Linked DNA regions of Oryza sativa Japonica Group. The protein of the gene in region 2 interacts with the protein of the main gene of each other region in a pairwise test. Links are inferred from orthologs where the notes say so. Each region holds a gene or a part of one and is shown on either strand. Other genes may lie near its edges.

Region 1 (3,836 bases), on a different chromosome or scaffold from region 2:
CAAGACAAATTATTATGAAAATATATTCAATTATTGATTTAATAAAACTAATTTGGTATTATAAATATTACTATATTTGTCTATAAAATTAGTCAAACTTGAATTAGTTTGATTTTAACTAAAGTCAAAACGTTTTATAGCCTGAAATGGAGGAAGTAATTTATTAAGACTAATTAGGGATAACTTTGTCATATACTTTTTTTCTTTCTAGATCGATATGTGGTCATTCATTTTGCTGGTATCGCTTATATTCCGTAAAAAAAAAGTTGGAAGTTTTAGCCACTGCTAAATGCTGATTATACCTTTCCATAACTATTTTTTACATAATGCCCTTTATATTTATACTCTCATTAGCAGGGATAGTAGTACAAACAAATTTAAACTTTTTGATTAAATGATATTAACGGTTTAGATTATATTCAAGTATCAGGAAATAGCATTGTAGTGGGGCTCAGCATCCTCAGATGTTTTGGGTAAGCGCCGTGTCTAAATCCAAACGGTGGCTAGGACGATTCTAACACTTCTTTTTAAGTACTAATCAACAATTTACAATTGGTCTCTCGAAGCGTGGCGCGGTGTCGCCTATCTCCACCCCTCAACGAAAGTGGACTAGGATATTTTCCTCTCCGTTGATGGTGGGTTGCTTTACCGCGACGTAACCACGAGATAGTCACAGCGATTTATACCCACAATGTGGTCATCAACCAATACGGATCGATCTCCTTCTCATACCACGAGTATATAATATTCTACGATTGTGACCATATTAAAATTGCAAGGCCAGGAGAGGATGACGAGTAGTACCAGTGGTGGCAACGTACGACGTTCGTGTTGGCATAAACAAACGAGGGGACTAGATTCGATCGCCCAAATCTTTTAACAGCTCGTCAGCAACAAGCTGAACCCCAAGCATATCGTTCTCTCTAGCCACAGCAATATTTTACTAAACTAAACCGCAATTTGCAGTGCGACGAGAAGGGGATGGAAAGGATTTTTTAATTTGATCCTAATATATAACACCGTGCGTCTAGAATCGTCAAACGCTAAACAAACTCACAAGTGGCAGATGGAAATTTCAAACAAATAAATCCATGCCCCCAACTAGGAATTAAACAAATCCAACCCCAACCGAAAGGAAACAGCAATTCCATCGATCAGCTCCCATCCAGGACAGGCGAAAGAAGAAGACGAATTAAACACCAGAAACAATAACCAATCGTGACAACAAACAAAACCACGACCAGGGGAGGAAGTGACCGGCCGGTGGGCGCTGAATTCGACCCGGGACGATACGAGGTTTGTGTGGCCACCAACGCCTCTACGATCTCCCAACGAGCGGCTCCAATTAACCAATTTTAGGCCATTAGCCCCCCATAACCACTTGTGTCAATGTGTGAGCCTGATTTGATCCTGCTAATAAAGTATCCCAACTCCTCCATGGAAATCCCTCCAAGTGTCGACCACCCATCGATCCACCGATCCAACGGTGTACGTTTATGTGTGTGTGACAGCCACAGCGACGTTGCGAATCCTGTTTCGTTAGAGAGCAGGTACAACAGCACACTATAAACCAACTCTAAATATATTTTAAAAAGATAAAAGACTAGAGAGAAAAATAGCATACTACATATTTGTAACTAGATATAGCACGGACTTTAAAGACGCAGTTTGTGTGTGATAGGTGAGATCAGGTATTAGTAGTGTTGTATATAACTATTGTATAAATTGACCGTAGATGATTTCGAGCTAGTAGCTGGCTATCCTATTAAACTTGCTCTTACGAAAGATTTTCGTCGTCACATTCCGTTTCCCATCATTCCATGTACGCCGCTGCTGCACGTGTGATCGAGAGAAAATTCGCTGCTTTTTTGTGTGTTTGTGTGTGAGGCGGTGAGCTGAAGCTCGTCGCGCGCTTTAAATACGCGCGCCACGCCACGTGGGGTGGTTAGGCATCGTCACGGCGCGCGACGCGATCGGAGAGAGAGAGAGAGAGAGAGAGAGAGCTCGTGTCGTGTGGTGAGGTGAGGGGATGGGTGGCGAGGCGGAGCGGTGCGCGCTCTGTGGCGCGGCGGCGGCGGTGCACTGCGAGGCGGACGCGGCGTTCCTGTGCGCGGCGTGCGACGCCAAGGTGCACGGGGCGAACTTCCTCGCGTCGCGGCACCACCGGAGGCGGGTGGCGGCCGGGGCGGTGGTGGTGGTGGAGGTGGAGGAGGAGGAGGGGTATGAGTCCGGGGCGTCGGCGGCGTCGAGCACGTCGTGCGTGTCGACGGCCGACTCCGACGTGGCGGCGTCGGCGGCGGCGAGGCGGGGGAGGAGGAGGAGGCCGAGGGCAGCGGCGCGGCCCCGCGCGGAGGTGGTTCTCGAGGGGTGGGGCAAGCGGATGGGCCTCGCGGCGGGGGCGGCGCGGCGGCGCGCCGCGGCGGCCGGGCGCGCGCTCCGGGCGTGCGGCGGGGACGTCGCCGCCGCGCGCGTCCCGCTCCGCGTCGCCATGGCGGCCGCGCTGTGGTGGGAGGTGGCGGCCCACCGCGTCTCCGGCGTCTCCGGCGCCGGCCATGCCGACGCGCTGCGGCGGCTGGAGGCGTGCGCGCACGTGCCGGCGAGGCTGCTCACGGCGGTGGCGTCGTCGATGGCCCGCGCGCGCGCAAGGCGGCGCGCCGCCGCGGACAACGAGGAGGGCTGGGACGAGTGCTCGTGTTCTGAAGCGCCCAACGCCTTGGGTGGCCCACATGTCAGTGACACAGCTCGTCAGAAATGATACTTATGCAGAGGCTTTGTTTGATCTCTTTTTCTTTTCCCATTACAAAGAGTGTTAAGTAGAACTAAATCTCGTGACTAGCCTCTCAAGAATATTGGTGTAGTAGATTTTCTTTCCTTTTCTGTTTGAAAAAAAAGAGGTGGCTACCAATGCTGTAACTTCACATATGTGATTAGATGATAGTGCTATAGGGAACCATACATTGGTCTAATTAATTATTGGTGATTTGATTAGACTTGTGAACAAATTTGTGGCTCACATCATTCACATGCTGTTTGGTCGTGTGGGGGAAAATATCTGGAGTTGTGGATCATAGCACATGCACACAGAATAACAGAAAGTCATAAACTGTTTGCAAAGTTTAATGTTGTGGAGTCAGAGATCAGCATGCAGCCTTAGTGGCTTATGTCATCATGCAGAAGTTAGCAATGGATGACTTTAATTTGAGATTAATTCAGAAGCTTACAGTTTGCACTACCTTGTGTAATTTGAGATTTGACATTTTTATATTTGCCTCCTGTATTGGATATCAGAGCATGATGGATTGATATAGGGTTTATGACTTGGAAGTTAAAAGAGGAGTTTGCCCACACTTCCAGCTCCTAGAAATCTTTTTCACATAAAGGAATACACAATACACGAATATGTACTGATTAAGCAATGACTAAACATGAATTGGATCTCCAGCAGTATTTACTTATTAGTAGTTGAAATGTACTGTACTAGGAGTATGTGTTTTCTGGGTGAATGTGCTGATCTTGAAGACTTGATGAAGACTTGATCAAGTTCAGACTATCACTTTCAGAGTTTCCGTACCACCGAAGCACCGGCTTTCTCGTTCATTGCGTCAGTAAGATGGAAGAAGAGGCTGCTCATCGTCCTCGCTGAGTACAAATATGCAACCTCAAACCAATTTCCAACCCTAAACTAAACTAGAACATATCTTGAATTCTCGATCATTCACACGTATACATCTGATTCAAGTATCCTCCAAGATAAGTGGATTGTCCTACTGCTTAATGCTTCTCAGAGAAACAGGTTTGCTGCAGAGATATTATTAGTTGTTACCTGCACAAGTGTA
Region 2 (5,051 bases):
TACTGTAGATCACTTGCTTTCTACGGGAGCACGTGCGGCTAGCTATTCCTAGGGCCATCTCTATCTTTTGGAGATATTTTTTTTTCTATGTCGTACTAATCTATCACTTTATAACTTTTATGTTAGGACGTTGAACCATGACAAATGACCAATTACATCTTGTAGCAACTCCTGCAATCCAATTCACACGGCATTGACAATTTTGTACTAGTATAATGATGGCATCTCTTATCGATCAATCTCACCTTGTTTCTGCTCCTATATTCCATCTGTTTTTTCATGCTTCGGTTTTGATATAAATCGAATTTCTTCAAGTTTAACCAAGTGTATGAAAAAAACAGTATACCTATTATACCAAATTAATTTTATGAAATCCACCATTGAATATATTTTCATTATATATTTGTTTGGTGTAAAAATGTTGCTCCTTAAACTTGATGAAACTTAAAGAAATTTAATTTTGAATAAACCAAGTAATCTTACATGCTGAAAACGGAGGAGTATATCTTAATCACAAACTCGTGGTATCATTATATGTATTTTATTACTTCATATTAGAGTAAATGCCATAATTAAGGTAGTCTAATTAATTAATTGGTGCATGGGAATTTTATTAGAATTTTACAGGAAGAGTAGTAGCTTTACTTCTGGTGACATTTGAAAAGGTTTTCTATTTTTTACATTCCAAATGTATACATATGATAATATTAGTATTAATTGATAAAAGTTCGTCACGCGAGTTACGGGGTGATTTTTCGACACGGACGCACCCAATACACTCCAATATGTCCAAAAAATGTTTCGGTATTTTTTGAAAATTTTTATTCCGGTAAAAAATATCGCACCCATATGTGCCAATATATATAGCAAGTAAAAAAAGATCCTTATTATAGGGATAATTTAAAAGTCAAAAAATAAAACATAATATAACGAAACATGCAATCAATCAAAATGTTGGGAAGGATACTGATTCTTAAACGTTTTGAAATTCATTACAAAAATATGCCCTCGTTCCTTATAAAGTCCAACAGTCATCTATCGACTTTTGTTAAGCATATTATATACGAGGACATGTTCCTAATTCTATCCTTAAACGAAACAGAAAACCTAAACAACGGTATCCTGTTGGAACGGGACACCCTTATATCTGTGATACCTAAGACCTGATACATGTGATACTCATACAAGAAAATAGTTAATATGTCTATCCTGTTACAACGGCATCCCGTTTTGTAACAGCCTCTAAACGAAAAATGTTTTCAAGTCCAGAATTATGATAAAATTCATCCGAAAAATCAATTAGCGCCGCATTCTGGTGGGCCCGACCACGTCACCCCCACCAGCTCAGCTAAAGCCGGAGAGATATTTCCCGACACCCCTGGCCCACTGACAAGCGGGCCCCACCCTCCCTCCACCTCGACGCGCGGGAACGAGTCCGAATCCGTGTCCCGTGTTCGCGCGCTCCGCACCGGATCTCATCTCATTCTCGCCGTCTTCTCTTCTCCACCACCTCGCTGCCTTCTCCCTCCTCCTCATTCCTGCATTGCATTGCTTCCGAGCTCAAAAGTCGTCGTAGACCCCCGCCTCCTTCCTCCTCCTCCTCGCGCTTCGATTTGGTTTGGTTTGATTCGGTTTGCGAGATGAAGGATGGTGGTGGAGGAGGAGGGAGGGGGCAGCAGCAGCAGTGGCCTTGCGACTACTGCGGGGAGGCGGCGGCGGCGCTGCACTGCAGGGCGGACGCCGCGAGGCTGTGCGTCGCCTGCGACCGCCACGTGCACGCCGCCAACGCGCTCTCGCGGAAGCACGTCCGCGCCCCGCTCTGCGCCGCCTGCGCCGCCAGGCCGGCCGCCGCGCGCGTCGCCTCCGCCTCGGCGCCGGCGTTCCTGTGCGCGGACTGCGACACCGGGTGCGGCGGCGACGACGGCGCGGCCTTGCGGGTGCCCGTCGAGGGGTTCTCCGGGTGCCCCGCCGCCGCCGAGCTCGCCGCGTCGTGGGGGCTCGACCTCCCCGGCGGCTGCGGCGGCGAGGAGGAGGAGGCCGACGACGCGTTCTTCTCGGCGCTCGACTACTCCATGCTCGCCGTCGACCCCGTGCTGCGCGACCTCTACGTGCCATGCGACCCGCCCGAGGTGGTGGTGGCCGGCGGCGGGCGGCGACTCAAGGGGGAGGCGCTCGGCCACCAGCTCGCCGAGATGGCGCGCCGGGAGGCCGAGACGGCGCACCCGCACACGCAGCCGCACTCGGATCTGAGCCCCCGCACGCCTCGCCGGACCTCCGCCGCGGCGAGCGGCCGCCTGCAGGAAAAGCAAGCTCCCCCGCCGTTGCCTCATGCTGCTGCGACGGCGGCGCCGCTGCCGTACACTTCACTGCTCATGATGGCGCCGGCCAACTGCACCGAGCTCATGGAAAACAACCGTGTTGGAGACGAAGATGAAAATGTTCTGTGGGAGAGCACCGCGCCATCAGTGCCACCAACCCAGGTAAAAAGAAGCAGAATTTCTTTTGAATAAGCACACATCTTCTGAATTACGATTGCATCTTCGCTGTATATTCAATGTTTGATTTTTGTTTTTGGGGTAATGGTTAATTGTTGCATTTCTGGCCTGTTCAATGTTTGATTAGTGTGAGCAATGTTAGTTGCATTGCTTAATTAGTCGAATTATTTGTAGCTTCACACTCATTAAGATCACGTGGTGTTAGGATCTTATTGGTTCACATCTAGCAATAGAACAAACTGTACGAATGGTGGTGTTGGACCCATCACTTGTGTAGTTCGTGCTCAGTTGTGCAGATCATTCAGATTGAGAGATGCGGTTATGATCTCTAATCTCTTGTGGATGAGGGGATGGGTAAAAGAATTGGATGTTTGAACCTTTCAAGAGAACTACCACTGTGGTTTTGTGATGAACACTATAGGTGCGAGTTATTGAAATTTTACATCTCTGTGCTTTTGTACATGATACTGGTTTTTCATGTGGTTTTCGTGTCCTGTCTAGTTCTATTTCCTAGTTTTTTTTCAACCACATAACAGAATGATTCTATTACTTTGAGTAGACATAAATTTATCCTTGTTGCCATCATGCACGATTTATGAACCGGTTCTTTCAGAGATTGCTTGCAGGCACAATAAACTTTCATGGACTCTTACTGCAAAAAAGTAAAGTATCATGGACTGGGTAGCATTGTTTTAGGGGCATTGAATGTGCAAATTGGGCTGATGAGGATGGGTGTTTTTTCCTTTTCAATAATGCAAGTTAGACAGAACTTTCTGAGGAGATGTTGCTATCACAATATGGAAAGTGCATTGTATGTAGATATTTCATACTACTGCTGTACTGCATTCTTCAGAGTATTTGCCCCTTCAGATATGAGATAGATCCTATGACCTGGGGTGTGCAAATAGGCTCTTGAATCATGGTGTGTTGATGCAATGAGCTTTACCTGACTTTTGGCTACAGACTGTCTAGCTTTAATCAAGCAAATAATTAACTTTCCGTAGGCATATATATACTAGTAGAACTGTCATCAAAGGAAAGAATGTTTTTCAACTAATCACCCTTGCTAATCCATCTCCTAAATATTTCAATGCTTCTTCTAGTTTACCCTGGAATGAGCTTCATTTCATGGCCTAAAACTTACGGTTCTCTTCTTGTTATCGGCGTGACAGATATGGGATTTTAATTTGGGAAAATCAAGGGATCACAATGAGAACTCTGCACTTGAAGTTGGATTTGGCTCAAACAATGGAGGCTTTATGATTAAGAGTTATAATGACATGCTCAAGGAGATTTCTTCTGGGACAACGAAGGATCTGGAAGATATTTATGACTCAAGATATTTTGCAGCTGCCGAAGATATCATGTCGACTAATGTCTGTCAGCTGTCATCGAAAAATGTAAGCCATAATCCCCTTTTTTCCAACGTAAAATATGCTTGCTGACTGTGCTTATCCAGCGCACCTAGCACACAATTCACCTAGCTTAGTGGTGCCAAGCAAGGTATTCTCATACTGCCTTGTGCTAGAGAAGAAGTGGCATCAATCCATGCATCTGATGAATCTCATAATTCTTGCAATTTTGGTATCTTTTGATTAGCACTGTAACTTCCAACAGCAAGGATAAAAGTAGTGTTAGAACACCTTATCTATCTGTATAGGATCCTCTTATTTGTTACCAAGCCTTACACTTCATACTAATAATCTATGACAAAGCCCAAGGTATCGATTTAAGCAAATCACTAACAACAGGTTTGCTTGAAGAAGCTGATGGACTTTCTGAAAAGGAACTTTTTGCCTTTTCCTTCTTAAAATGTGCATGCTCACGTGGACATTTGGTACTCCATCTGTGTGTGGCATGGACACTCTTTTAGTTGTTACCTGTTAACTTCCCAGTTGACCCCATGGCAGAGCTTTCGCTGATGTTGATGCGCCACTAACTTCTGCAATGGCTCCAGTGTTATGTTCCTAATTCGATCTTATCTTTTTAAAGGGGGGCTATTCTTGTATAAGTTGGCACCATGGTCCCATATGGTGTGAACACTTTTAGCTTGTTTCAATCACCGCGATATTTATGGACCACCGTACAGATCCTTGTTTCCTCCTCCTTTGGTCCACCAAGTCATGGACGCATCTTGTTTCGTTGCGAAACATTGAAAGGCCAATTTTGTTGTATCATAGAAAGCCCCACCACGTTTTTCTTGGTTGGTGTCATTGTAGGGTAAGTGTCATTGTAGGAAGTACCAAACCACTATCTGGGGCTATCCTAAAAAAAATTGCTGTCTGTTTGCTACCCTGTAAAATTCTGCATTTGTGATGGTAGTATATAGGACCAGAGGAGTATCTTCAGTTCAGTTACTCATGTTCTCTGCTTGAACTTTCCTTGCAGCCAAGCACCAGGAGCAACAAACGGAAGGCGAGCTCATGCGCTTCGACGATCGATGGACCGACAACTTCCACAAGCCATGTACCTGCTGCTTCAGGGGCATTGGGGGGCTCTTCGAACGACAGAGGATCGGCTCTCCCCAAGGAGATTTCCTTCTGTGATCAGACCGTC

The links. The genes of interacting proteins can lie anywhere in the genome.
Region 1: the proteins of zinc finger protein CONSTANS-LIKE 14 (region 2) and B-box zinc finger protein 32 interact in binary tests that used the Arabidopsis thaliana proteins (3 or more experiments, as listed by UniProt). The link is inferred for Oryza sativa Japonica Group from reciprocal best matches to the Arabidopsis thaliana genes BBX13 and BBX32.

What each region holds. Positions count from the first base shown.
Region 1 is NC_089040.1:28,116,283-28,120,118, forward strand, and holds B-box zinc finger protein 32, read left to right. Parts: upstream 1-1,947; 5' UTR 1,948-2,029; coding exon 2,030-2,755; 3' UTR 2,756-3,002; downstream 3,003-3,836.
Region 2 is NC_089042.1:26,940,185-26,945,235, reverse strand, and holds the start of zinc finger protein CONSTANS-LIKE 14, read left to right. Parts: upstream 1-1,527; 5' UTR 1,528-1,640; coding exon 1,641-2,480; intron 2,481-3,667; coding exon 3,668-3,895; intron 3,896-4,883; coding exon 4,884-5,051.